5 linked regions of the Neurospora crassa OR74A genome follow. Each later gene encodes a partner of the first gene's protein in a complex. Links are inferred from orthologs where the notes say so. Each region holds a gene or a part of one and is shown in the gene's direction. Other genes may lie near its edges. The genes, in order: NCU09297, NCU06216, NCU02828, NCU07679 and NCU09063.

Evidence for each region.
Region 2: NCU09297 (region 1) and NCU06216 share a complex: the UniProt entries of both Saccharomyces cerevisiae proteins name them as parts of the condensin complex. The link is inferred for Neurospora crassa OR74A from reciprocal best matches to the Saccharomyces cerevisiae genes YCS4 and YCG1.
Region 3: the proteins of NCU09297 (region 1) and NCU02828 are in contact, whole or in part, in a cryo-EM structure (PDB 6YVU), measured with the Saccharomyces cerevisiae proteins. The link is inferred for Neurospora crassa OR74A from reciprocal best matches to the Saccharomyces cerevisiae genes YCS4 and BRN1. Residues at the interface, in NP_013374.1 of Saccharomyces cerevisiae: Glu365, Gln368, Asp369, Ser370, Arg375, Arg405, Ser406, Gln408, Asp409, Arg410, Trp589, Ile641, Ser646, Arg742, Asn786, Tyr789, Pro790, Glu793, Lys805, Asp807, Arg815, Val840, Val841, Lys856, Tyr860, Lys863, Cys864, Ile917, Arg957, Thr958; in NP_009455.3 of Saccharomyces cerevisiae: Thr166, Leu167, Phe170, Thr172, Ile173, Lys174, Ile184, Asp185, Pro186, Phe188, Ala191, Leu192, Phe195, Lys201, Leu203, Leu204, Leu205, Asn206, Asn209, Ile210, Asp211, Asn212, Thr213, Ala214, Arg215, Val216, Ile217, Phe218, Asp219.
Region 4: the proteins of NCU09297 (region 1) and NCU07679 are in contact, whole or in part, in a cryo-EM structure (PDB 6YVV), measured with the Saccharomyces cerevisiae proteins. The link is inferred for Neurospora crassa OR74A from reciprocal best matches to the Saccharomyces cerevisiae genes YCS4 and SMC2. Residues at the interface, in NP_013374.1 of Saccharomyces cerevisiae: Val33, Ile34, Gln37, Asn95, Thr99, Leu104, Gln107; in NP_116687.1 of Saccharomyces cerevisiae: Ser53, Ala59, Ser60, Leu62, Gly111, Gln124, Asn139.
Region 5: the proteins of NCU09297 (region 1) and NCU09063 are in contact, whole or in part, in a cryo-EM structure (PDB 6YVU), measured with the Saccharomyces cerevisiae proteins. The link is inferred for Neurospora crassa OR74A from reciprocal best matches to the Saccharomyces cerevisiae genes YCS4 and SMC4. Residues at the interface, in NP_013374.1 of Saccharomyces cerevisiae: Glu901, Val1006, Cys1007, Val1012, Glu1014, Ala1044, Gly1045, Gln1046, Gly1088, Ile1090, Asp1091, Gln1126, Glu1129, Lys1130; in NP_013187.1 of Saccharomyces cerevisiae: Gln1283, Asn1290, Val1296, Asp1297, Ser1298, Leu1299, Asp1300, Ser1303, Met1311, Lys1314, Ser1316, Trp1317, Arg1360.

What each region holds. Positions count from the first base shown.
Region 1 is NC_026507.1:35,769-40,634, forward strand, and holds the end of NCU09297 (condensin complex component cnd1), read left to right. Parts: coding exon 1-2,488; 3' UTR 2,489-2,803; downstream 2,804-4,866. Other genes in the region: NCU09296 (hypothetical protein), read right to left, coding at 3,843-4,866. UniProt on the Saccharomyces cerevisiae protein: Regulatory subunit of the condensin complex, a complex required for conversion of interphase chromatin into mitotic-like condense chromosomes.
Region 2 is NC_026503.1:1,931,143-1,935,900, reverse strand, and holds the end of NCU06216 (nuclear condensin complex subunit 3), read left to right. Parts: coding exon 1-1,624; intron 1,625-1,680; coding exon 1,681-2,792; 3' UTR 2,793-3,071; downstream 3,072-4,758. Other genes in the region: NCU06215 (transferase), read right to left, coding at 3,235-4,420, 4,499-4,758. UniProt on the Saccharomyces cerevisiae protein: Regulatory subunit of the condensin complex, a complex required for conversion of interphase chromatin into mitotic-like condense chromosomes.
Region 3 is NC_026501.1:8,975,376-8,982,095, reverse strand, and holds NCU02828 (condensin complex component cnd2), read left to right. Parts: upstream 1-2,582; coding exon 2,583-2,665; intron 2,666-2,768; coding exon 2,769-3,390; intron 3,391-3,444; coding exon 3,445-5,106; intron 5,107-5,302; coding exon 5,303-5,650; downstream 5,651-6,720. Other genes in the region: NCU02826 (sodium/calcium exchanger protein), read right to left, coding at 1-912; sec53 (phosphomannomutase), read right to left, coding at 6,333-6,585. UniProt on the Saccharomyces cerevisiae protein: Regulatory subunit of the condensin complex, a complex required for conversion of interphase chromatin into mitotic-like condense chromosomes.
Region 4 is NC_026504.1:2,266,041-2,270,880, forward strand, and holds the end of NCU07679 (nuclear condensin complex subunit Smc2), read left to right. Parts: coding exon 1-2,324; intron 2,325-2,457; coding exon 2,458-2,722; 3' UTR 2,723-3,060; downstream 3,061-4,840. Other genes in the region: NCU07678 (hypothetical protein), read right to left, coding at 3,197-3,482, 3,561-3,675, 3,985-4,096, 4,188-4,840. UniProt on the Saccharomyces cerevisiae protein: Central component of the condensin complex, a complex required for conversion of interphase chromatin into mitotic-like condense chromosomes.
Region 5 is NC_026507.1:493,873-500,647, forward strand, and holds the start of NCU09063 (nuclear condensin complex subunit Smc4), read left to right. Parts: upstream 1-2,685; 5' UTR 2,686-2,986; coding exon 2,987-4,159; intron 4,160-4,208; coding exon 4,209-6,775. Other genes in the region: NCU09062 (hypothetical protein), read right to left, coding at 1,182-1,685, 1,761-1,999, 2,104-2,260. UniProt on the Saccharomyces cerevisiae protein: Central component of the condensin complex, a complex required for conversion of interphase chromatin into mitotic-like condense chromosomes.

The sequences.
Region 1 (4,866 bases):
CAAGAGCAGCCACGTCAGGAGGAATGCCATCAAGTTGCTCGGCACCTTGATCAGAACTCATCCCTTCACCGCTCTCCATGGTGCCCAGTTGGCCAGGAAGGATTGGCAGGAGCGCTTGGGCAAAGTGGAAGAAGAGCTCAACGCTTTGAAGCCACCGGTGGATGCTCCGGGGCTGGATGGCGAGGCCGGCAACACCTCCGTAGACCCAGCACTCCTCGACGATGCCACCCAGATGATGGAATCTCCCAGAAAGCAGCCATCAGAGATGACAGAGGAGGAAAAGATTGCAGCCATTCGCAGGGCCCAAGAAGAAGCAGCCACCTCTGAAGCCATCGAGAAGCTCACACTGACTAAGCGCTACTACAGCGAGGCGCTCAAGTTTATCGACGTCCTCCACGAGGCCACCGAGACCGTCTGCCAGCTCCTCGGATCCAAAAACAAGAGCGAGGTCATCGAGGCCATGGACTACTTTGAGATCGGCGACGCATACAACATCGAGCAGAACAAGATCGGCATCCGTCGCATGCTCAGGCTGATCTGGACCAAGGGTAATAGCGATGAAGGCAAGGGCGTGCAGACCCATCTGATCGAGTGCTACAAGAGACTGTTCTTCGAGGCGCCTGGCAACTTCAATGCCAATGACGCGGCGACGTACATTGCTAGGAACATGATTAGTTTGACGTTCGGTGCCACTCCTGCTGAGTTAACTTCGCTGGAACAGCTGCTTAGCACCATGATGAAGTCGGGCATGATCTCGGATTTGGTCATTGCTAAGCTGTGGCAGGTTTACGGCGTGCAGAAGCGGGAGATTTCGAGGACACAGCGTCGGGGCGCCATCATTGTGCTGGGTATGCTGGCCACGGCCAATCCCGAGATTGTCGTGGGCGAGATGGAGACCATGCTTCGTACCGGTCTCGGCGCTCACGGTCGGGCAGATCTTCAACTGGCCAAGTACACATGCGTTGCTCTTCGACGCATCAACCCCACAGGTCGTCAGTCCAAGGATTCCGGTATCAAGTTCTCCCGGCTACCGAACGACCATGCCCTGCTCATCAAGCTTGCTGCCATCACCGAGGTGCCCACTGACAGCAAGGAGTGGTATGGTGTTGCCGAACAAGCCATCAATGCCATCTATGCCATCGCCAAGCACCCCGACGTTTTGTGCTCCGAGATCATTCGCCGCAAGACCAAGGGCGTGTTCGCTCGCCCGCCCAAGTCGCGTTCGGCTTCTCATGAGGAGAAGCCATCGCCAACAGAGAGCGCAGAGCCCACGCCAGCTGAAGAGCCCAACCCGGACGCCATGGACGAGGACGAGCCCACATCCGCCCAAGCACCAGTCGCCACCCAACCAGAAGATGCTGAAGCCAAGAAGCAACACCGAGAACACGCCATCGCCCTTTCCCAGCTCCTCTTTATTGTTGGCCACGTAGCCATCAAGCAGATCGTTCATTTGGAACTGTGTGAATTGGACTTTAAGCGCCGTAAACAGGAGAAGGAAAAGGCAGCTGGAACCACAAGCAAGCGTACATCCCTTTCGGCCTCCGCTTCCACCAATCGCCGCAAATCAGGCGGCCCCAAAGCCGCCAAGGACGAAGAAGAACAAGACGAACTCGACCTCATTGGCGGCACCACCGAAGACGACTTCACCGAAGCCATCTTTCATATTCGCGAGCGCGAACTGCTCTATGGGCCGCAATCCCTCCTGGCCATGTTCGGCCCCATGGTGTCGGAAATCTGCGCAAACAACACCACTTACCGCAACCGCGAACTCCAGCAAGCCGCCACCCTGTGTCTCGCCAAGCTCATGTGCGTCAGCTCCGAATACTGCGAAGCCAACCTCCCCCTTCTCATCACCATTATGGAGCGCTCCGTCGACCCCACCGTGCGCTCCAACGCCGTCATTGCCCTTGGCGACATGGCCGTGTGCTTCAACCATCTCATCGACGAAAACACCGACTTCCTCTACCGCCGCCTGTCGGACCCTGACCCCTCGGTCAAGCGCACGTGTCTTATGACGCTCACCTTCCTCATCTTGGCCGGACAGGTCAAGGTCAAGGGCCAACTGGCGTCAATGGCCCTATGTCTCGAAGACGGGGATAAGCGCATCGCTGACTTGGCGAGGATGTTCTTCACCGAACTCTCCACCAAAGACAATGCGGTCTACAACCACTTCGTCGACATGTTCAGCTTGCTTTCGTCCGACCCCAGTCTGGAGGAAGAGGGTTTCAGGAGGGTGGTCAAGTTTCTGCTCGGCTTCGTGGAGAAGGATAGGCATGCTAAGCAGCTGGCGGAGAAGCTGGCGGCGAGGTTGCAGAGGTGTGATACGGAGAGGCAGTGGAATGATGTTGCCTTTGCGCTGGGTCTATTGCAGCACAAGAATGAGGAGATTGCTAAAGTGGTGTCGGAGGGTTTCAAGGTGGTTCCCTCTGGGCAACAGGGGATGCAAGCGACGCAGAGAGCTACGCAAGCTACCCAGGCGAGAGCTTGAGGAAAGGTGGAATGGGTAATGGAGATTGCGGATGAATGTTTACAAATTTTATGTCTTTTGTGGTGTACATGGGTGTTGGAAGAGGTTGGATGTGTGGAAGGGATCTTGGGAAATTCGAATATGGTTCGGATATTGGGACTTGGGTGGACGGCGTTAGGGTTGTTGTATCATGACCATGTCAAACTTTGAGAAGGACCCCCACCTAGCGCAGGTAAAGCATCTGCTTTATGAGAATTGTATTAGCGGTTTCTCTTTCAGCCTTTCCATCAGGTAGTTCGGCAAATGGAATCGCAACCCTCTTCACCAATATTCAGGAGTATTTTTAGTTTTTACCATACTCGTCGGTCAAACGACGTTGCAGTGTTGGGATAGCCGGGTCGCTATGACCGGGAGTCCCAACGCGGTTAAACAGACTGATGAACGGGGAAATCTGGGGTAGCGTGTGTGGGAATCATGGCATCCTCGAATCGGGATGGGCCATCGGGATGGTGCAGGATGGTGAAGTGCGCCGGGGTATGTACGACTTCCCGATACGATCCGGAGCGGGGATGACCGGATCACGCAGCGGTTGGATTGGAAGGAGCTTCTGGGGATATAGTAGGGTTCGGAACGCCTTAGCAGCAATGATTCGAAGCGGGTCATGATTTCGACCAGTCGAGGTACCTAGAAAAGTTTCTGCTCATGCATGGGGTGGATAGCAAGAAGACATCGCCGGTTCTGGAGATGCCGACATCACCGGGATTGGGGTACGGACGTGAGGCTGGGGATGGCGAGCAGTTTTAGATAACGTAGAGGTAGTCGTACGACTTGTAAGTTTTGCAGGTGTGAGGTTAGGGCTGATTGTAGATGAGGTCTTGGACGAAATCTCGTGATTTGATGGAGGGAATTGCAGTCAGTCCATTCACGTACACAATCTGAAGTGAAACAGCCTTGTATCCATGGTCTATATGGTGATATTAAGTTTCTGCTACGCCCTCTCTCTCTTGTTCCTTCTCTATTCGATGCTCTCCATAGTAATACAACCAGTCATCTGTGTTTCTAGCACCAAGCGCGCCATGTGCATGCGCCATACCATCCTTCCGTGTTATGCACCCAGTTGAAACCATCTAGCACCTGAAGTAACACCAGACTGACAAACGCTGAACCCAAACCTACTTGTAACTCCCCCTTGAACGCCATCACTCTCGGTTACGGCATCCCATCATTACACATTACTTTCTCTCACTTTATGTCATGCTCCCACTCCCACTCCCCCTCTTGAGATCCATCCCTTAGGCCAGCCTCCATGTCTCTCCCTCTCTTGACTCCCGTCCCACATCTCCGTCTTCATCGCCGTGGAACCTTGGAACCATTCTCAATTCCCACTTTCCTTCACATTCTCACCCCCATACCCAGGCCAAACTTCCCCCTCCACCACTTCGGCCAGCTCCCTCCTTATCATTCCCTGGAACCACCACCCGATATACGCGCAAGCAGCCATGAACGCCGTCGCCACCCCGCCCATCACCATCCAATTACGACTTGAGTGCCTCTGGTACCACGTGTCGCTTGCAACGTTAACCATGGCGTTTGGGTTTGAAGTATCAAACCAGTACCCCACGGTGATGTAGCAGAAGCAGTTGCGGTAGACGCCCATGATTTGCATGAGGGTGGTGCCGATTGACAGGAAGAGAGAGAGAAAGAAAAAGACGGTGAAGAGGGTGTAAATGGAAAGAGTGAGGAGTGACTTTCGGGGCTTGGACTTGGTTTGGACTGTCTGCCTTTGGGTGGGAGTATTAGATCTGAGGTGGGACATGGAAAGTCGAGGGGGGCATGGATCATAAGGAGAGGAGAGGAGGTTTTGGTTGGGACTTGGACTGAAGCTAGGATCGCGATCGGGGATGTGCCTGAGAGAAGGGCCTGGGGAAGGAGTTGAGGGTAGTAGATTCGTCGTTGTGGGGATTTCTCTTAACCCGTACATGTATCGATCACGACCCGAGACGCCTTCGTCGTCCATGTCCATGTCCATGCTTGGGGTCCGAGGGCGAAAAGGTGCCGTGTGAACCTGTTGAAGGTCCTCCGAGGACCTGCCGTTACCGTTGGCACTCGCGTCACTGCCTTCTCTCTCGTGCACCGCTTGATATGTGTTCCTTGACCCTTGTTGGCCAGATTCTGGATCCTCGCCTTGGTTGTTTTCATGTCTCGCTTGATCCCGTTCCCACATGTTCAGGTAAGCAAAGTAGACAAAAGTCAACAAAAATTGCGAGGCCGAATACGTCACAAAGCTCAGAGACCGACAACTCCATCCGACCGGCGGTGTCTTCAAGGCCACCACTGCTCCTGCACTTGGTGGGAGAGCAATCAGGATGAAAGTCTGAATGATCCAACCGCAGTGCTCC
Region 2 (4,758 bases), on another chromosome or scaffold:
GTGTCACCCCCAAGCATAGAGGCTCTGCTGGAGCTCCTGGAGCGCATTGATGTTGTCAACTCCGGAGGAGAGAACGGTGTCGCTCTCGAAGCTATGAAGGGCTTTTGGGAGGGCCGTGCTGACTACAGAAATGCAGTGAATTTTGATGACAACTTCTGGGAGACACTTAGCTCGGAATCCGTGTTTGTCGCCCGGACATTTAATGATTTCTGTAGGAACGAGGGCAATGGGAAATACGAGTCCCTCGTCGACGAGAAGCTACCCGAAGTCACCAAGCTTGCATTTTACTTGGAGCGATACGTCAAGGTGCTCATTGATGCCATCAAGAGGATCAATGAGCAAGAAGTGGAAGATGAGGAAGAGGAAGAGGACACAGTCGAGCAAGAGTTCATCGTCGAGCAGCTTCTACACATCGCTCTTACCCTGGACTATTCGGATGAAGTTGGCCGTCGCAAGATGTTCGCCCTTTTACGACAAACCCTCTCTATCCCGGAACTCCCCGATGAAGTCACCAAACTCACCGTCCAGGTGCTACGAGACCTTTGCGCCCCCGATGCTGCCGGCGAGAAGGAATTCTGCAGTATTGTACTTGAAGCCGTTGCTGACGTCCACGACACCATCGTCGACGATGTTCCTGACGAAGGCGACATTGACGACAACGAGTCCTTTCACTCAGCTAGATCCGAGGTCAGCGACGACGAAGATTCTCAATCTAAGAAAAAGAAGAACAAGGGTCCTGAACTGTCGGAGGAGGAGGCGGCTCAGAAAGCCATCAAGGAGATCATGATCAACATGAAGTGTCTCCACATTGTGCAGTGCATGCTCACCAATGTCGCCGGCAATCTCCAGAGAAACGATCATCTAGTTTCTATGCTCAACAACCTCGTCGTTCCCGCCGTGCGCAGCCACGAGGCCCCTGTTCGCGAGCGTGGTCTCGTCTGTCTCGGCCTTTGCTCGCTCCTCGACCGCTCGCTTGCCGAGGAGAACCTCACCCTGTTTATGCATTTCTTCGCAAAGGGCCACACTGCTCTCCAGATCACCGCCCTGCATATTCTTACCGATATTCTCAATGTGCACGGCGCGCAGCTGCTCTCGAATAACACCAATCTCCTCAAGGTTTACGTCAAGGCCCTGCGCGCTGGCGGAAGATCTCCCGAGGTCCAGGCGGCCGCTACTGTGGCCGTTTCCAAACTCCTGCTCGGCCGTGTTGTTAGTGACGTTGACGTATCCGCGGAGCTGCTCAAGACCCTTGTTATCGCGTACTTCGAGCCCGCCAGTGCAGAGAACCAGAGCGTTAGACAGGCACTCAATTACTTTTTGCCTGTGTTCTGCTACTCGCGGCCAGAGAATCAGGATCTGATGCGTCGGGTTGCGCTGGATGCCCTGCATACCTTGTACAATGTGCGCGAAGGCCTGGATGACGAAGAGGCCGATGTAGATGATCAGATGGTCAGCATGTCGACCATCGCTGCCTGCTTGGTCGACTGGACGGATCCCAGAAAGTGCTACAACCCCGATGAAGGGTTCAGCGCCGGCCTTGACCCCGAGAAGAAGACCGTTTCGGCAGATGTGCACCTCGACTTCGCCAAGGATATTCTCGAAAGGCTACAAGGAAATGGAGCCAGTACGTATTCATTGTTGCCTCTCCCACCAAATCGTGATACTGACACCCAGACACAGAAGAAGAAAAGCGCATCATGGCCGCCCTTCTCGCAAAGCTCTACATCCCATCCGGCTCCTCTTCCTCCAACCCCTCCTCGCCCATCAAGATCCGCGACGTCTACGCCCTCGTCACCAACGCTGTTGAGAACAACCTCCTCTCCGACGCCACCTCTCGCAACGCCCTCTACAAGGTCCATGTCTCCCTTGGCAAGATTGTCAACGCCCTTGATGCCGCCGCCGAGCAAGATGCCGCCAACAACGCCGCGGGCCGCCATGCCTCCATTGCCTCCGGCGCCACCACCCATAGAAGAAGCGCCAGCAGGGCAGGCAGCGTCGCTCCTAGCCGGGCGGGTAGCGTGGCGCCTCCGGCTAGCGAAGCCAGTGGCGGCGGCGGCGGCGGGGCTGTGTCCAGAGCCGGTTCCGTCGCACCATCTGCGTCTGGTGCTACTGCTGCGCCTGTTAACAGCAGGAAGAGAAAGGAAAGGGAGGTCAGCGTTGGCGTCTCCATCAAGGAGGAGGACGAGAACGAGGACGAGGGCGAGGATGTGGAAATGGGTGGTACGCAAGTGGGCGATAATGATAATGCTGGTGATCGGGAAACAACACCAAAACCAACTGCGACAGAAGCCCAGGAGCCGAGCACGGAACAGAGAAGGTTGTTGAGAGGCGTTTCTCTGAGGAGTAGGAGGCAGAGCTCGCAGAGTGTGGTTAGCGTACAACCGCAGCAGCAACAAGAGGAGGAGCAGGAAGAACAACAACAACAACAACAACCGACAGGAAGGAGAGGGAGTAGGAGGGCTAGTGCGATGAAAGCCAAGGCGCGGTTGAGTGCTGGACGGAGCAGCAGAGCAGGTACGGAGGATATTGCGGAGGAGATACTGGATGATAGTGATGGAGATACGGTGATGGAGAGGACGAAGATTGAGGAGGAGGACGAAGAAGAACAAGAAGAAAAAAAGCGCGAGGACGAGGAACAGGACGATGAGGTAGGAGGGGAAGAGGATGGGAAAGAAGAAGAAGAGGAAGAAGAGGAGGAGGACGGTGATGACGATGATGGAGAGAACGAAGGGAAAGATGATGACGAGCTTGTTGATGAGTTATTGTCGGATGAAGAGGACGACTTCGAATAGGGTTGCGTACGGATTGAAGACGGAGATTCTGGATTGTTGAACTACATATGAACTGACTTGATTGGGTTTGGATGGGACACTACGTAATATATGGAGGCTCTGTGTTTCTGGCTTTGGTTCATGTCGTTTGCTTGCTGTCGAGGCCTGAGCTTCTTGGGCTAAGACGTATTGCCTTGGTTTATTTTGTCCTTGAACATTGCAGGATACCATTGAATGAAATGTCAAAAGGCTTTCTTTGTTTGCTTCCATGCATTTCAACTTTAGCATCTCCTCATCCAAGTGATGCTGAGGAACGATTTCGAGAATTTATCTACTCGTTCTAATCTAACCTTTATATCTACTACAAGCAACCAACACACAATGATCCACACATCCTATCAAACCACCCGGCCCTTCCTTGGGCTCGTCCTCTTGGACAAGATTGTACCACCTCATATTTTACCTAAAATGACCCAAGCCAGAACAACAACCCACTCAGCCCAACATTAATTACCAAATGCTGCACCAAGCTCCAAGCCACGCAGTACAAGTACTTTGGGGAAAATACCGTCCACACGAACAAGTGCGTCCTGAGGATCGTACAAGCCGCCATAACCGCCGCGACACTAAACGCGGTAAACAGCGTCGTCACGGCAACATAGGTCTTGAACGGACTGATTTGCCCCCCTTCAAGCATCTGTTTCGCTTCCGCTTCTTCCTCCTTTTCGTCGCTCCCTCTTTTCCCATTGTTACCGCTACCCAACCTTTTCTGTCTCTGATCTCTCCGCCAAATCTCCCCCAAAAGCACCACCGTCCCAAAAGCCCACCACACCGGTCCCGCCCAGTTCCCCACGTACGTCAAGATGCCAACTAGGACAACGTTGAAATTGCTCACCCCGTTGTAGGCGTTAGATAGGTCCACGGAGGAAATCGCGTTGCTACCGCCCATAGCGAAAAAGGAGGCATACTGCAGTAGGAGTGAAGAAATTCCCAGTTCAACAGTCGACAGCCCTGTGCCGTCCGGGGCATCGATCTCGCTGGACAGAAACCAGTAAAGCAGGTTGAAGATGAGAAAGACGGGGATATTGGCCGTCCGGCTTTGTGTGAGGGCGAGGATGGTGTAAAGGTGTTGAAGAGTTGTGATTGCCTCGGCCGGCCCCTTTTTGCGGCGTGACCGTTTACGGTTCCCCCCGGCCCCCCTCATCTCCCAAAGGATAAACCCCATTGCCGCCATTGCCACCAGTCCTAGACCGACAAAGACCGCACGGGCGCGGGCAATCAAGCTCGCGCCCCTCGTGAAATCAAGCAAACTACTCTTCACGAATTCCACCACCAACTCGGGAGCGTCCTCGAGCGTGAAGGCTGCCTTGAAAGTGAACGCGGCCAAAACTAGCCCCGTCATGACAGGGTAGTTGATGGGTACCGGGATGCGGCCGTGAAAGGAGTAGACGAGCTGCCGGTGGGTCCAGAAGTAGGTGAGGCCGACGAGCAACCACAGAAAGTGGGGGTGGGGTTCGATAAAGAGTTTGACGATGTCCGGCGTGCCAGCGTGTTTTTGGCCGGTTTGGTTCCAGGCGCGAAGGAGGCGGAGGGAGGCGAGCACGGGGAAGGCGGTGAGGAGGAGGTGGGCGGGAAAGGTGGTGTTGGCGCTGGAGGGCGGTGAGGGTTGTTAGTTAAGGTTGGGTGTGAAATGATGAAGGAGAAAAAGAGAAAAGGGGAAGACGTACCGCTTGAATCCGCGGAGAGTGAGGTAGCCAAACCAGGTGCTCGTTGCTAGGTACCAAAAGTGCTGCTCTTCTTCGACATAGCTGCTGGCAAACATCATAATGCTGTAGGCTATGGAAATCACCAGTAAGGGGGTGAGAGAACGGGTCGGGGAAACGGTTTTGATTGCGGCGCTGAGGCTAAAGATTACGGCGAGGAGGGCGGTGATTTGGCCTAGAATGAGTCGGGACATGTCGTAGTTGCTCGCCATGCCGCTCATGAG
Region 3 (6,720 bases), on another chromosome or scaffold:
ATCCTCTGGTTGATCCCGGTATGGCTCCAGCTCTCCTGATGGCTCGGGTGTAGAGCCATAAAAATGAGCACGAGCAGCAGCTTCCCCTTGTTTCCTCTTTCTCCTCCTGTCCGTGAACCACTGCCACGCAAACACCAAGATGACATAGAAGATGTAGCAGCCAACCATGGCGTTGGCCTCCCACAGGTGCAGTTCCTGGTCCAACAGGAACATCATGGTAAAGCTGATGGAAACAATAAAGTAAACGATATCTCGGACGAAGGTTCGTTTCTGGACCTTGAACTCGCGAACCAAGGCCATGGACCCGGCTACCACGGCAGTGATAAAGCCAGCAGCACCGATCAGCTCGCCCACCGCCATGCTCCCACTGTTGGAACTCATGGCGGCAAAGGTGCTAAAGACATCCGGGGAGCCATTGCCCAAGGCGAGGAACGTGACGCCGGCCAGGTTCTCGCTTAGACCCAGGACGCTCGAGATGGTGCTGAGGTTGATGCTGAAGAAGTCACTGGCAGCGATGCCGATCGTGGTAAATAGGAGGCCCAGCCATGCGGTCAGGACGGCGAAGGCGACGGGTTTCGCATTGGGTAGCGTGCAGTAGTAGAAGCTCAGGTAGTGTATTAGGCCGGCATCCTCGTCTTCGCAGTTGGCCAATATGAAGGCGCATTGGTCTTGGACCAGGTGGACATCGCGGCAATCGACGGGGGCGGTCGGTTCGTGCTTGTGGTGACCTCTTGCGAGGATTCGCGCAATATTATGTGGTTGTTGTTGATCATGTTCGGGTTGGCGCAACAACCGTGATGTCGCGAAGGGTCTGAGGACGAGCGCATAGGTTGCTAGACAGGTTATGAGGAGAGTCGACACGATAAAGGGTCGGGAGCTGAAGGGGCTCCGTTTCTGGCGATGTAGCGACATGCTGGACCTTTGGTCATGGCATCGCGTGGGGAATACTGGCTGTATGTGCTGGTGGTGGTGTGTTGACCCAAGGGAAGTGTCGCCACGGTGATGGATGATGGATGGATGGATGGACCGGCGGGGCAATCGAACGGCAGTTATCGTTGGGTCGCAATCGCAAATGTGATCGCAAGGTACGTATGTTGATGATGGCCGGAATTAAAAAAAAAAAAAAAAAGAGAGAAATTTGCCAGCAGCAGAAATAGAAAAGAAGAAGAAAAAAAAAACAGATAAGGCTACAAGTATGTCCAGTATGGTGTATACGATTGACGGGACGATGGCGTGGCTCGCGTGGGCGGGCGGGATTGCTGTGTTATGTAGGCGGAATGAGATCATCGTCGCAAAGTTGCCAAGGTGATTTCGGGTGGCCAGAAAGGTCGGATTAGGACTGGTGCGTCGAGGTATCCATGCGCCGCTTCTCTGAGACAAGACGATAGATTCATTGCATTGGAGATGGGTAGACGACGGATGGGCGCAAGGTAGGTATCTATTAGTGTAGATACTATAGGAAATAGGTGATTGGGAGAAAGTTGAACGAGAAGATAGAAGCTATCGATGTATGTAATCTAGAGTAGAGGCAAAGGGCAAAGAAGGAAGGCGGGGAATATTAAAAGAGGGTGACCTTCCTGGTTGGGCAGGAGACTGACATATCGCTGTGTTACCGTGTTCCTGATCTCAACAAGTTCCCTGCAGCAACCGAAAAGAAGAAAAAAATAAAAATAAAAAGGAAAGGAAAATCACGGAAAGGTAATGCTACCTTCTAACGTCTGCAGCCCCATGCGCAACCCGGTTGGACATGGAGACGCTGTTTCGGTTGGAGTCTGTCTTGACTGTAGAGTAGGAATACATACCTACTACAGATGCCTACTATACTTCTACAGTGCATACATACGCGAGCTCCAATCGATGCGGGTGAGGTGACCAACAGGAACGGAACTTCCATCTGAACTAACTCAAGAGGCTGTGGATTTGTGGCGACAAGAGAGATGAGTCTTGATCGCATCACAAAGAGGTCAAGACGGGGGAGGTAGCCCATATGCCCTGCCACTTGTACACTAGGTAGAGGTAGATATACGTCTCCTTTCTCTAGTTATGTAGGGAGTGCACATGCGTGACAACTTCGGACTCAGGAACTTCAATCGGAGTTTCAACTCCCCAAGTGAACCCCACATACAAGGTACACGTGTATGTAGTGTAAGTACCAGAAGGGGGGGGGGCTCTGTGTGATCGCCAACGGCCGCCGCATGTAACAGTATGTCCCTTGTACGTGTATGGATGTATCGATGCCCTGTAATGTACCGCTGTACCTGAGCGTAGTACCTTGACTGTAGAGGTAGCTTAGTCATTCGATGCCAAGCCCCCCAGACTTCCTCCCTTCAACTTCCTCACCCCGCTCTTAGTTACCTCTACCATAGTACTGCGTAGTAGGCCCCAGCACGTGCCGCCACCCGTCACCAGCCCGCCCGCTGAGACGTGGATCCGTCTAGCCCGTGTCTGCGCTACCTATCCAGCATTGGCACTCCCATCGTGGTTACGGGCGGGTCAAAGTAAACAAACACCACTGAAAGTCCAAACTAGACAGCGGCCGCCTGGAGCTTCACATCTTGGATAGCTTCGTCAACACCGCCAAGATGCCTCGCCTCAGCACAGGTCCGCGACGGAGCATGAGCAAGGGCCCTGCGGTGCCATCCCCGCTCAAATCCCCCGGCCTCAAGTACGTCTTTTCTTTGAATTGCGAATTGCGAATTGAACGTCTTGTCGCGTCCCTCTTTCATTTTCCTCCCTTGTAACTGACCAGAGATATTCGTCCCGACTAGAATCCCACTAAACGACGACGCCCAAGAAAAGGAACAACGATCGCGAGGACGCAAAGCCCTCCACGAGGCCCAGATCAACCAGCTCAAACTCGCCGCGACCGCAGTCGCAACCCCCGCCCGCAGCGTAATCGACGAAAATGGCACTCCGACCTCCAACGGACCGCGCACCCCGCGTCGCCGCATCTCTGGCAAGGAGAACTTCTCCATCCTCGACGACGATGACAGGCCGGTTGTGGGCGGCGCCGTCGTCACCCCCATGAAGCGCGTCCCCATCCTGGCCAACTTTGAGGAGTGGATGAAGATGGCCACCGACAACAAGATCAATGCCGCCAACTCGTGGAACTTTGCGCTGATCGACTACTTCCATGATATGTCGCTACTCAAGGAAGGAGACGGTGTCAATTTCCAAAAGGCCAGTTGCACGCTGGACGGGTGTGTCAAGATTTATACCAGCAGAGTCGACAGTGTTGCGACGGAAACCGGAAAGCTGCTCAGTGGTTTGGCCGACAGTCGCGACAGCAAGAAGAGGGATAGGGGCGAGGGCGAGGACGGCGGCGATGACGATGAGGAGGAGGACGAGGTGGACGAGAATGGCAACGTACTAAAGAAGCGTAGAAAGAAGGTTGGTTGCTCGGCTCACTGCTACGGGCGGGTTGCATGATACTGACAATTGCAGACCCAACGATCCTCCGAAGCCACCCTGGCACCCTCTTTCGCTTCCCTGCAGCTCAAAAAGTTCGAACTCGAATTCTCAGTAGATCCGCTCTTCAAAAAGGCATCAGCAGACTTCGATGAGGGAGGCGCTAAGGGTCTCCTCTTGAACCATCTGATGATCGATTCGCAGGGTCGCATCGTCTTTGACAGCAGCGACGACGCCATCGACACTCTCGACTCACGCAACCAAAAAGCCGCCGAGGAGAACGACCAAGATGCCGACCCGGACGCCATGGATATTGATGCGATGGAAATCGACGGCCAAACCGAAAAGACCCAGACCCGGACCCAACAACAAGAAGAAGAGGAGGAGGACGATGTGGAGATCGACATTGCCAGTCTTGGTGCTAGGTTCTTTCCCGATCTTGGACGACTAGACGAGATGGATGTGTGCCCATCGCTCAAGACTTTTATCCTCGGAGACCCCTCCGGATCCCTCGATATTCCCTTCCTCAGAGCGCCCGAGGACTGGCGCCAGGAGCAAGATAGAGCCAAGACCCCTGGCCTCGGCAACAAATCCGGCTTCATTATTGATGACGAGAACCCGCTCGGTTTCGATGACGATGATGCGCTGGGCGCATTCGACCTGGGAGGAGACGTTGACGTAGCCTTCGGTGAGGGTGGAGAAGCCTGGGCCCGCGAAGCCGCCATCGAGCCACAAATGATGCGGGTCTTTGACGCCGGTCTAGACATAGGAGAGGGCGAAGGTGGTGACGATGGTGATGGAGTAGACGGCGACCTCGAAATGATCGATCAAGACAAGGGCGATTTCGGCATGGTTAACATGACGAACGCCCAAAAGACGGACCGGCTGCACGAGGACATTCTCAGCTACTTCGACCAAGCCCTATCAAAGAACTGGACCAGCGCCGAGCACTGGCGCATTCGCAAGATCAAAGATGTCAACAAACCCCAAACGGGAGAACCACAACGCCAGCGCAAGGAGAAACAGGCTTTCGAGATCGACTTCTTCACCCCCGTGGATCGCACCCTTCACGACGTCCTGCACACCCAAGCCACCACCAACTCGGCCATTTCGCTGCCCAAGAAGGACTGGAAGTCCAAGTCGCGCAACCTGCTGCCGGACGACAAGCACTTCAGCTCCAAGCAGCTGCTCAACCTCTTCCTCAAGCCCAAGGCCCGTCTCGGCCGCAAGCAGCGCGCCTTTGGCCGTTCCAATGCCGACAACCAAAACCCAGACCAAGTCCCCGAGGGCACCATGGACGAGGCCTTCTGGGCCCAACAAAAAGCGCCGCTGAACCAGGGCCCATCATCGCAAGACGACCATCTACCGCAGGGTGACTACGACGCCAACTTCTTCCAGGATGACGGTCTGCCGTTTGCCAACGGCGGAGACGACGATGACGACGAAGACATGGACGAGGAAGTCTTTGCTGACGCACGGGATCACTTCTCGCCTGGCCCCGGTGGCACGCAAGGGGATGGCGCTGCCGGGAAAGAAGGAACAGCAGGACTGACGATGGACGTGGGCATGACGGGCGCGTTTAACGGGCTGACGGTTACGAACCCGGCCGATTTGGCGTTTGGCACGATGCTGGTCACGCAATCACGAAGAGTCAGGCCCGAGTATGTGCAGTATGCGAGACGGGCCAAGAAGGTGGATGTCAGGAGGCTGAAGGAGGAACTTTGGCGGGGGATGGGGATGGACATGTTGAATGGCGGACGTTTTTTTTTTTTTTTTTTTTTTTTTTTTTTTTCCTCTCTTCTTTTCTCCTCCCTGTTTTTCTTTTCTTTTTTTTTTTTTCTTTTTGTTTCATCCTCTTTTTATTTCTCCCAGTTACTAACAACACGAACAACAGATACCAACAACAACAACAACAACAACAACAAACCCCGAAGACTCCCTCCTCTCCCCACCCCCAACGACGACCCCATCCGCCCAACCACCGAGCTCCTCAGTAGAACCTCCCAAAGAAGGGGAAGAAGAACAGCAAGAAAAACCAACGCTCAAGTTCACAGAAGTCATGAACTCGCTGCAAAAAGTCTACCCGAAACAAGCCATGGACGACATCTCCACCAGTTACTGCTTCATTTGCTTGTTGCATCTTGCCAACGAAAAAGGGTTGGTGATTGAGAAGAGCGAGGAGTTGACGGAGCTCTACATAAAGAAGGACGCGAATGCTGTTGTTGAGGAGGGTGGTGAGTGAGTGAGTGAGTGAGTGATAGTTGGGCGCTAGATGGAGATAGATAGCATGGGGGTTTGTTTTTGGAGTGGATGTAGTTGTAGAGTGTGACGTTGATACCCCAGTTTAGCGGGACGGTTCGGTTGTTTTGCAACGACAACGGAGAGGAGAAGAAATAGTACACTAGTGAGTGAGCGAGTGAGTGAGTGAGTGAGATGGGTGGGTGGGTGGGTGGATTGGCAGGTTTCTTTCTTCCTTTTTTTCTCTGTCTGGGTGGGTGGGTGAGCGTATGAACCAGTATAAGGTATAAGGTATGGTATGATATGGTATGGTCTAGCACTTTGTGGTATATCAAGAATATGAAATACGGGTTACGGAATGGTATACCCAACGGGTCTCTGACAGTGTTGGTTTCCAATACAGAGAGGTGAGATGAGGAGGTATGTGGTACCAGCGTGAAAAAGATTAAGTGAAAGGGTCAACTGAAGTAAAGGAGCAAGGAAGAGCCTGTAAACAACCCTTTGGTCACGCATCATATCGTTCCCGAGGACTCTCCATTTTGTGTCTTCAAATCATCATTACCAATTATCTTCAATCCCTATATAGGCTTTTTTCTTTTACTTTGTTCTTCCATCATCATCATATCCCCACCCAACCCCCTTCACAGGTAGGTAGGTAGACCTCTGACACCCCCAAAACCCAAAACTTAAAGGTTAAAAAGCTTCCTCAGCTCGGCCGCCGTATCCTCCGGTCCGGTAACCGAGTGACCAATAGTCCTAGGATCCTCGTAAATCTCGTAGTCGTTACCGCCCTTGAAGGTCTTGTCGCCAAAGAAGTGGATGGTGTCGTACGTGATACCGCCGGCCTTCTTGGCCTCGTTCTCGAGGTGCTGCAGGCAGTAGGTCTTGTCCCAGCCGGTGGGGAAGACGTCGAAGGAGATTTGGCCGCCGATGGAGAAGCTGTTTGTTTTCCGTGTCTCTCTGTTAGCTTTGTTGTCTCGCTGAGAGAATGTGGGGGGGGGGAAGAGATCGAGCGAAGCGAGGTAAAGAAAAAAAAAAAAAAAAAAAAAAAGGCCGACCGCAGCAGACACCACA
Region 4 (4,840 bases), on another chromosome or scaffold:
GTTGTGGATTTGAAGAAGAGCAGTATGAAGGAGGAGCAGGAACGGAGGAAAGCTGGAGAGAAGAACGTTGCGGACCTGGAAGCGGCGCTGAAGGAGAAGACGAAGACGTACGAGAAGATCAAGGCGAAATACGATGCCGCCAAGGAGACGCTTGAAAAGCAGAGGCAAGAAGCAGACACCAAGGAAGAGCTGCTACAAACCCTGCAAACTGGTGTTGCGTCCAAGGAGGGACAGGAGAACGGTTACCAAGGACAACTACAAGACGCGAGAAACAGGGCCACGGCTGCGGCAACTGAACAAGAGCAGGCAAAGATCAAAATCGCCCATCTGGAGAAGCGAATCAAAGGGGAAGAACCCCGGGCCAGGAAGGCCAAAGAGCAAAACGCCGGCTTGCTGAAGGATCTCGATGGCCTGAAAGCCCAGGCTCAGAGGCTTGAGAAGGAGCTTGGAAGGCTTGGGTTCCAACCCGGGACGGAGGAAGAAATGTATAAGCAGGAAAGCTCGCTCCAGCAGACTATCCGCAATCTCAGGCAAGAAGCCGATGCGCTTAAACGCAAGGTGGCAAATATCGACTTCAACTACGCCGATCCAGTCCCAAACTTTGATCGATCAAAAGTGAAAGGGCTAGTCGCGCAACTCTTTTCATTACCCAAAGAGTATATGGAAGCTGGAACAGCGCTGGAGATCTGCGCTGGAGGCCGTCTTTACAACGTGGTTGTTGACACCGAAGTCACTGGCACACAACTACTGCAAGGCGGTAGATTGCGAAAGAGGGTTACCATCATTCCCTTGAACAAGATCTCTGCTTTCAAGGCTTCTGCACAAACGATTGCCAATGCGCAACGAATCGCTCCAGGAAAAGTGCACCTGGCTTTGTCCCTAGTTGGGTACGACGATGAAGTGTCAGCGGCAATGGACTATGTCTTTGGAAATACGCTCATTTGCGCTGATGCAGACACAGCCAAGAGAGTGACGTTCGATCCAAATGTCCGCATGAGGAGCATCACAGTGGAGGGTGATTCGTACGATCCATCTGGTACACTATCGGGTGGAAGTGCCCCCAACTCGAGCGGCGTTTTGGTTACTTTGCAGAAGCTCAATGAAATCAATCGGCAGCTGAAGGAAGCAGAGACCGCCCTCAATGAGCTACGCGGCCAAATTTACCGGGAAAAAACGAAACTTGACCAAGCAAAGAGAATCAAGCAAGAACTTGACCTCAAAGCCCATGAGATCAAGCTAGCGGAGGAGCAAATTGGCGGCAACTCATCATCATCGATCATCCAAGAGATTGCAAATATGAAGGAAACAATAGTCCAACTCAAGCAGTCGATCATGGAGGCCAAGCAGCGACAGGCAGAAGCCACCGCCGAAGCCAAAAGAATCGAAAAGGACATGAAGGACTTTGACAATAATAAAGACGCTAAGCTTGTGGAGCTGCAAGCTTCAGTCGACAAGCTACGTGCGTCCCTGGACAAGATGTCTGTTACAAACAAGGCGTTGCAAAAAGAGCTTCAGGAGGCGCAACTGGACTCCGAGCAGGTTGCTGCGGATCTCGCAGCTGCGCGGGAGCAGGTTCAAGATATCGACGTTGCTCTCAAAGCCCAGCAGGAGGAGATCGACGACATAGTGAAGCAAGGAACAGTCCTTCAAGAGACCCACGACGCCGTCCTAGCACAGCTGGAAGACGAACGGACCAAACTGCATGTGTATGACGACGAGCTCCGGGCTTTGGAAGATGCTACCAGATCCAAGAATGCTCGAATCGCCGAGGAGGGGCTTGAAATGCAGAAGCTCGGTCACCAGATCGAGAAGTTCCACAAGGAGCAGCAGCAAGCCGCGCAGACAGCCTCACACATGGAGCGCGAGCACGACTGGATCGCCGAGACCAAGGACCAGTTTGGCCGGCCCGGAACGCTCTACGACTTCAAGGGCCAGAACATTGCCGAGTGCAAGTCCACGCTGCGGAACCTGACGGAGCGTAGCCAGGGCCTGCGCAAAAAGATCAACCCAAAGGTGATGAACATGATCGACAGCGTGGAGAAGAAGGAGGTGTCGCTCAAGCACATGATGCGCACCGTCATCCGCGACAAGCGCAAGATCGAGGAAACCATTCTTAGTCTGGACGACTACAAGAAGAAGGCGCTGCAGGAGACGTGGGAGAAGGTCAATGCCGACTTTGGACAGATCTTTGCCGAGCTGTTGCCGGGCAGTTTCGCCAAGTTGGATCCTCCCGAAGGCAAGACCATCAGCGAGGGCTTGGAAGTTAAGGTGCAGCTTGGTAAAGTGTGGAAGCAGAGCCTTACCGAGTTGAGTGGTGGTCAAAGGTAAATTTTTGTTTTTCAAAATCTTTTTTTCTTCTTCTTTTTCTTTCTACCGCCTCCCCCAATTCAACTCACCTCAGCCCGTCCTTTCATCCAAAAATCTCCCATCAAGCCTACTAACTTTGTCGTCGTCCAGATCCCTAATTGCCCTCTCCCTCATCATGGCTCTCCTCCAGTTCAAGCCCGCGCCCATGTACATTCTCGACGAAGTCGACGCGGCGCTCGACCTGTCGCACACGCAGAACATTGGGCGTCTGATCAAGACCCGGTTCAAGGGCTCGCAGTTCATCGTCGTCAGTCTCAAGGACGGCATGTTCCAGAACGCCAACCGCATCTTCCGGACGAGATTCAGCGAGGGAACGAGCATGGTGCAGGCGCTCACGCCGGCGGATTTGAAGTGACATGTTCACCTTTTAGGCAGATATACTTGTATGATCAAAGGCTGGGATTGGGATACCGAAGGGCGGAGGAAAAGGAAGCAGGATGGTCGTTTGTCAATGAACTTTGGGCGTGATGTCATCTGGCTTGGTTGAGTTATGAATGAATTTGTAGCTCTTACGCTTCATGTGTAATTGTGGGAAACGAATATGGAGAATCGACAATTGGGAGCTCGAATCAACGAACAAATTTGGTGTCTTCAACTCGGGACATTCTGGCGTGCGGTTATTGAGCTGACACATGGAAGCGACGTTTATGTACTAGCCTTGACCTAACCTCGCTGATTTTTATTGTTCGGGAGTGATCCTATTCCTTTATTCTTACAGTCCAAGTCTACCCACTGGTGCACTCCATCTGGATAGCGACGGTATTTCCCCCATACCCGTTGGTCTACGTTGCTTAACCGCCTAGACCCAGTGCTGTAATCATTTTCCGGTTCAGATATCCGGTCTGTCCTCCTCATACATCCTCACATACCGATGAGGCCCCCTGCTCAGCACCTCGACACTCATACCAACTTCGACCCAGCTTTCCATCACCATGTTATTGAGATTAACTCCTTCGACATCGGTAGTAGGGTCACGGTATAAAGGGGTCAGCTGCATGCCGAGACTACCGACACCCTTAATCCCCGGATCTACGTCTCTGTACTTTCGGAGGGCTCGGTCCGGCTCGGCAGGGTGACGGAAACCCGTGTCTTGATCTACGTTGGGCATTTTGCAGCTGTTGGGGTTAGTTGGGGGCAATCCTTTAGTATATATAACATTTCTACTAGATATGGGAAGTCCTTCACACACTTACCGTACGCATCGGCCAGATACGTGGAAATGGGTCTTGTCTTGTCTTTTATTGGAAGGTTCAGGATTGAAGCGGATTGTCTTCCAGGTTTCTTCTTCATAGGCTTCGACACCGTCAACTGTGATGTGTGATGAGGTTAGGTTAGTGTGTGTACGTGGGTGAAAGAGTGTGTTGTTAGCGTTACGAGATTGGGCCTTATTTTCAGAGGATAATGCAGGGTTGCTTCAATGGGGATATTGCGCCGAAATGGAATCTTGCTTCTAGAAAGCTTGCCCAGACAGCATGATTCGGACCATCCATAATGAACACCTAATTCCTCTACTAGCCATGTGCCTAATGACCCCTGAGGGGCAGCAAAATGGCCCAAGAGCTTTGGGGGGGTTTTGGTCGACTAATGTCCGAATGGGTAGCGTCCGGACTGACTTACCTATAATGTTGGCTCGAAACCTCAATGGGTCGAGTGATTTGAGGCTGTCATCCTTGTTGATTTTGGCGTCTAAATCTTGAACGCTTGAAAGGTTGAGCATATGCACGGGATACTATTACCAAATCCTCCGTTGTGGTCAGTTATACGGTCTGGATTTGCCTGATGTCCTCGAGTCACGGAGTAGGAAAAGGACGAAAACGTACCGCATCCTGCCAGCCGGTAACGGGTTGATAGCCGGCCTCCTCCTTTTTGGGTGCATTTCGATACACCTCCCGCAATCGGGACGGGTCGACGCGAAATAAGCCGAGCCTGTTACTCACTCCCAAGTGCAGCCTCAACTCCCGAGGTAGGTCCGCCTCCATGTTGAGCGCAGTGACCGTATCCCGCCAGATCTTCACCGGCTCCCATGTGTATTTTCTGGCCTCGATCTCCCCATCTGAAGGAAATGAGACAGGGAGCATGATCTCTTTCTCGGGTACAGCACGAAGCCCACGTGAGAGTTTTGCGCCCAGCCACGCCAGCGTGCCGCGCAGCCCTAACTCCTGCCAGGGAAAGCGAATGACAATGAATGAGTCTCCCAGAGAAGTGGACTTGTCGGTGCTGTCCCCAGACAATAGCTGCTGGCCTCCCCCTCGCGCCTTGCGGATATCAGGAACATAGAGATCCACACTGACGGTGGCAAGACGGGGAAATTCTCTCTGCGAGATGAACTGCCACGAATGCTCCTTCTTTGTCTCATCCAGGGTGTCGAGCCCGACCGGGAAAGGACTCTTGAGCTGAGCGAAAGTGTAGAGGCGGTCGTATTCGAGACCGGCGGGTATAACTTTGCTCTCAAGTACCTCAATGCCTTTGCAGG
Region 5 (6,775 bases), about 460 kb from region 1:
GGTAGGATATATCCCTCCAATGACAACTTTTTGTGATTGACTGGCATATATAGCATCCCTCGTCTGCCGCTCGAAGGAGGTTGTGTAGACTCGAGTGATGTGGAGTCCCCCATTTGAACCCTTTCGGTTGCCAGTGGGGTACAAAGCGGTTGCAAACCGCGCATAGGTGGGTCGACATTATGGCGTTTAGGCGGGACTTGTTCAAAGTGGTGGATTGGTAGTAGTAATGGTAGGAATGTCACGGTGTTTTGCGTTGGAGGGAAGAAAGATGGAAGACATTGACGTGGCACGGCGGGAGTTTCGCCGGTTACCGCCTGGAGATTAGAGTGGCAGGGAAAGAGTGAATGGGTGCCTTCCACTGCTACCCAACTGCCCGGGCGGAGAGAAAGTTGCTGGTACAAAAAAACGCCCCACGATTCTTTTACCGACAAAAAGAGCCAAAACTCACCTCAGCCACTCCTCAGTTTTTCTACTCAATACCTTTAGAAGTAGATGCACTTAACGAAGCAATGAGGTGAATGATTCTAGTATTCAAGTTAAGGTTGGTATCAAATTCGTCTTTTTTGTAATCGGGTGACTGGTGTCAATTATAGAGCGTAAAAGTAGAATTCAGTTATGATGAACTTACAGCGCATTAGGTACAGTGGGTAGAAATCGAGATGCTTACATGTAGAAGTGACTTTGGTACTTGAGATCTCGCGCTTGTCCTCAATGTACATTCTCAAACAGATTGTACCATGATTTCCTATTAGTGATTTCTGTACCTAGATTTCAAAGTAATAGTTGCGATCGGACTACACAAGCAACAAAGAGCTAAAGAAGTTCTGTTCAGGCCTTTTTTGGTGGTCAGAATTGTCTTTGAGCGGTTTTTTTTTTTTTTTTTTTTTTTTTTTTTTTTTTTTTTTTTTGGATGCCTCTTTCAGTTGATTGAAACCAATCAGGAACGTCCAGTCATTACTGCCAGTCAGCGAGACTCGACCTTCGTTGCTGCAAATCGAAAAAGCAAAAGAGCATTCTCGTCGGTTTGACGATAAACAGTCATAAACATGTTGACTCAGGTGACCATCTCCCCATGGCAAGACCCAAAAGTATCCAAACGCCGTCGCTATGCCCGTTGCCAGAGATCAACCTATCGACAGAAAACTGCCAAGCTATGAAGGTATACCCACAACTCTTTAGCCTCACGAATAACCAGCAAGGTTCTCCAGAGCGGCAGTGCTGCTCAACCTCCCCGTCACAACCCCTCTCATCCTCAAAAGCGCATTTGCGCCTTTACTCTTCCTTCCTTCCCCGTGCCTCAAGTACTCCTGAAACCAGCTTTCCTCCTCGCCCGTCAACGCCGCGCTAACGAGTTCCTTGCCCCTCGCTCCTAACTTGTCCGGCTGCTCTAGAATGGAAGCTACTAACCTTTCAAACAGCTGCTGGCGGGTCCACTCCGGGTAGCGACGCGAGAAATCGAGTGCTTCGGTGACGTTAGTACGAGCAAGAGCGCCAAAGAGCAGCTCGAGAGCCTCGGATGAAGTAAAGACGGGCTGGGCGGCGTGGAAGTAGGCGAGAGCTAGCGTGTAATCGCTCTGACTGGTGGAGCTGCGCTTGTTGACGAGCGGATGGCGGACAAGGGCGATGGTGATTTCGTCGGCGAATTCGGTGGGGAGGGATGGGTGGGTTAGGTTTTCGATTGCGTACTGTTTAGCAGCGTTTGTTAGCGTCTTGATGTCCAGTGTGCAACTTAGGTTCCAGAACCAAACGGACGTCCGCACCTTGAACTCCATGCGATCCATGTGCCACAGGCCCCTCATAAGGATCTGGTACTTTTTCGGCAGTCCCGTCTCCTCAGCAAAGCTGTCCGCCCAATGCGAACGACCTGGATGGACGTCATCATGGTCGAGGAGGAGATAGTAAAGAACGGATATCTTTTGGATCGACGAGGCGCTGCTCTGGCAGATTTGTTGGTGGAGGGAGCGCAAGCCGTTCTCACCTCTGGGCGGATATGCAGTGCCTAGAGGTAGTTACAGTGGTGATTAGCGATGAAGCGCGCTATAACGACAGGGCATGGGTTGTTAGGGTGATTAGGTGGTAGTGTGGTGTTTACACTACACTAACCTTGGGCGATGCCTAACCGACTTAGGACGCGATCCACAAACAGGACGCCGCCCAATGATTTGCGGAAAGTCTCAATGGCACTGGCTCCCTTGTGATCGTAGGGGTTTATGAATCCCGGAGAGGGGAACACGTTGTTGTATTCTGTATAGTCGAGCATCGTGATGTTGAAGTTGGATTGCACAGTTGAAGTGCCCAAGTGTCCTTAGCTGTTGAATGAATTGAATGGAAAGGGAAAAGGGAAAATCGAAGGGATGGATGAGTGCCGTCATGGCCTGGGATACATGTATGCAACGGCCATCGGGTCCGTCAGGTCCATCCCCTGCACCTGGAATGGAGCCTTCCCCGGATCTGTACCTGCGCTAGGTAACGGCCTGTCTTGGCTTATCGATAAGGTAAGAAAGCCGTAAGCGCATGGAATGTTTGTTACACAGAGCGGGACTCCACCAGCCTGCCACGCATGCAGTGATAGCGCAACACGGTGCGAGCGTTCCAGGCAGCGGAGGGGTCGCCCGCTGCAGTGCACGAATTGCATTGGCTGCCCGTGGCTGCTGTGGCTGATTGTTTACCACCGCAGTCACGGTATTGCAAGAAGCGTCCGTCCAAAAACTGCCCTGAATGTCAACAATCTAACCGCGGCGGGGCAAGGAAGAAGCTGCGACAGCACTCAAAGAGTTTCTGCGTGGGCGTCCCATTCCGTGTCTGTCGCAACAACTGCCCTGCGAAATGTGAATACCATTTTTCATCTTTACTTGTTATTACATAAACTTTCACTCCTTGGTTGTCTGATACCCGCATCTTGCAGCGCTTTCTGTTCCATTCTGTTCTGTTGTTTTCATCATCGAGTCGAGAATTTGCAGGCCGAAACCACCGACAGACATCAGTCATGTCGACGCGCCCATCGCGTCGGGCCGCCGCAACCAGGCGCGCCGCCATCATCGAAGAATCCTCATCAGACGACGATATCGCAAACACCACATCGAGAGGCGCCCAAGATGACGACGAGGAGGACGATTATACACCCGCGCCAGCTTCGGCAGCCCGCAAGACTGCTCAGCGAACCACCAGAAGATCCACTGCCACGCCCGCTCCTAGGGCAGGAACACCAGCAGCAGCATCATCATCAACTGCACCGGCACCGGCACCAAAAGCTGCGCCGAAAAGGCGCGGACGACCTAAGAAGAATGCCGCGCCCAAACCCAGCAAAGAGCCCAGTGTCGAACCGAGTGTCGAAGCGAATAACGATCCCCAAGCCGAACCCGAAGCCCCAGCGCCTGCCGTCAAGCCAAAGGATGAGCCGATCGAGGAGGGTATCGACCCCAATGTGACTGTCGCGTCTGCCGTTTCGCCCGCTACAACCGCCGTGATCGCGGAGCCAGAAGCACGGGATACGCAAGAAATTCAGTCACCCCCGCGGAAGCGTAGAACTCTTGTGCGGCGCCTCAGCAGATCGCCAGCAAAGATCATGCAGCAACAACTCGAGCTGCAACAGCAACAAGCCAGCCGTCAAGGGACACCAACGCCAGGCTCTCCGTCAACTCAACGCGTCGATCGCCAACCTGCTCCTCTACAGGACATCACCCAGACCCTCATCAACCTACCACCTCCAGCGACCGCGGCATCAGAGACCCTTGTCAACACACAGCCAACATCAACAGCAGATGAAACCGTCGTGGCGGCCCAGAAGCCCGTCAGGGCTATGGATACTATTCTGGAAAAGCCCATGGATATTGTGCTCAAGTCACGGACCATGGCTCTTCCCGTCGTCGAGGATACCGGCCCGAAGCCACGCATTGTCATCACCAATCTTGTGCTCATCAACTTCAAGAGTTACGCCGGTAGACAGGAGGTCGGCCCCTTCCATGCTTCGTTCTCTTCGGTCGTGGGTCCCAACGGTTCTGGCAAATCCAACGTCATCGACTCGTTGCTGTTCGTCTTTGGTTTCCGTGCCAGCAAGATGCGACAAGGCAAGATCTCGGCCTTGATTCACAATTCGGCGCAGTTTCCGAATCTCGACTACTGTGAGGTGGAAGTGCATTTCCAGGAAGTCATGGACTTGGTAAGTCAAACATTGTTTTGAAGGGGAGTCATTGTGCTGACATTGATAGCCCGGCGGTGGCCACGAGGTTATCCCCGACTCAACACTCGTCATCTCGCGCAAAGCATTCAAGAACAACTCGAGCCAGTACTACATCAACGGCAAATCATCCAATTTTACCACCGTGACCACGCTACTCCGCGACCGTGGTGTCGATCTGGATCACAAGCGTTTTCTCATTCTCCAGGGCGAAGTCGAATCGATTGCCCAGATGAAGCCCAAAGCCGGCAACGAGCACGAAGATGGTCTGTTGGAGTACCTAGAAGACATTATTGGCACTTCCAAATACAAGACACCAATTGAAGAGTCGGCCACCGAAGTCGAAACCCTCAACGAGATCTGCATGGAGAAGAGTGGTCGTGTCCAGCACGTGGAAAAGGAAAGGAACAGTCTCGAGGACAAGAAGAACAAGGCGCTGGCGTATGTTCGCGATGAAAACGAACTGGCGCTGAAACAGTCGGCTCTCTACCAGCTATACATCAGCGAATGCGACGACAATATTGCTGTCACAGAGGAGGCTATCGGTCAGATGCAGGCACAACTTGACGCTGAGCTTGAGAAGCACCACGGCAGCGAACAGCTCATCAAGCAGTTGGAAAAGGCCTACTCCAAGGGTAGCAAGGAATACGACTCTTGGGAGAAGCAGACACAGCAGCTGGTCAAGGAGATGAACAAGTTCGAGCAGGAACGCGTCAAATTCGAGGAGAAGCGGAAGTTCTTGACGGACAAGCGTAAGAAGCTTGAGAAGACGATCGCTAACGCCGAGAAGACGGCTGTTGAAGCGGAGGAGACCATTCAGAACTGCACCAAGGAGATTGAGCGTCGTCAAAAGGACATTGTTTTCCTGGAGAAGAAGGTCAAGGAAGAGGAGGCCGAGCTTGCGACGATACGTGAGAGCCTCAAGGGCAAGACGCAAAAGTACTCGGATCAGATCGCGGCAAAGCAAAAGTCTCTCGAGCCTTGGAAGGACAAGATCAATCAGAAACAGTCCGCCATTGCCGTTGCGGAGAGTGAGCTGGCCATTCTCAGGGAAAAGGCCAATGCCGGAACTGTGGCCCTTGAGGAGATGGAGACGAAAATTGTGGCCATCCAGGAAAGGCAAGCGGCGAAGGCGGAGGAGATGGAGCAGTGCAAAGCTGAGAGAGCGAACCTGATCAAGGAGGGCAAGAAGATCGAGGCTGAACTTTCCAAGCTTGCGGAGGAGGAACCCAAGTACCGGCAACAGCTTTCGAATGCCCGCCAAAAGGCTGACGAGGCGCGGTCGAGCTTGTCCGCCACACAAAACCGAGGCAATGTCTTGACTGCCCTTATGCGCATGAAGGAGTCGGGTCGTATCGATGGGTTTCATGGACGACTTGGAAATCTCGGTGCTATTGACCAGAAGTACGATATTGCCATCTCTACAGCCTGTGGTGCTCTGGACAACTTTGTCACCGACACTGTTGAGGCCGGTCAGCAATGTATTGAATATCTCCGAAAAACCAACCTCGGACGTGGTAATTTTATGTGCTTGGACAAGTTGCGAGTCCGCGACATGTCTCCTATTCAGACTCCCGAAAACGCCCCTCGTCTCTTTGACCTTGTCAAGCCCAAAGACGACAAGTTCCGACCTGCCTTCTACCATGCTCTTCAGGACACATTGGTCGCCAAGGATCTCGCTCAGGCAAACCGCATTGCCTATGGCGCTAAGAGATGGCGAGTAGTGACCCTTGCCGGCGAGCTCATCGATAAGTCAGGTACCATGACCGGTGGTGGCACTACAGTCAAGCGGGGTCTGATGTCCTCCAAGCTTGTGGCTGACACCACCAAGGAGCAAGTTGACAAGCTTGAGGCGGACCGTGATACCTTGGAGCAGGCCTTCAACGAGTTCCAAGACCGCCAACGAGAACTCGAGTCCCGTCTGCGCCAGATCCAGTCCATGATTCCCCAGCTTGAGACCAAGATGCAGAAGATCAACCTCGAAGTTGAGAGCTCGGAGCGCAACCTTGCCGATGCCCAGCGCCGTATCAAGGAGCTCAGCAAGGAGCAACAGCCTTCCAAGACGGATGACAACCGCGTCGCCGCCCTTGAAAAGGAAATTGCCAAGCTTGAGGGCGAGGTCGAGAAGCTGCGCGAGGAGATGTCCTCCGTCGAGGATGAAATTAAGGCTCTTCAAGATAAGATCATGAAGGTAGGTGGTGAAAAGCTTCGCTCTCAAAAAGCCGCTGTGGACTCGTTAAAGGCAGAGATCGCCACGCAAAACGAGGAAACTTCTGCCGCCGAGGTGAAGATGGCGAAAGCGGAGAAACAGAAGCACAAGCTAGAGAAGGACTTTAACAAGGCGTCTAAAGAGCTGCAGAATGCCATTCAGGAGACCGAGGCTCTGGAAGAGGAGATTCAGAACCAGGGCGATACTGCCGAGAGCCTCACGACCCGTGTTGAAGAGGCCCAGGAGGCACTCAAGGAGAAGAAGAAAGAACTGGCAGCTATGAAGAAGGAGCTGGATGAGAAGACGGCCGAGCTCAACGAGACAAGGGCGGTGGAAATTGAGATGCGCAATAAGCTCGAGGAAAACCAAAAGATCCTGTCTGAGAACCA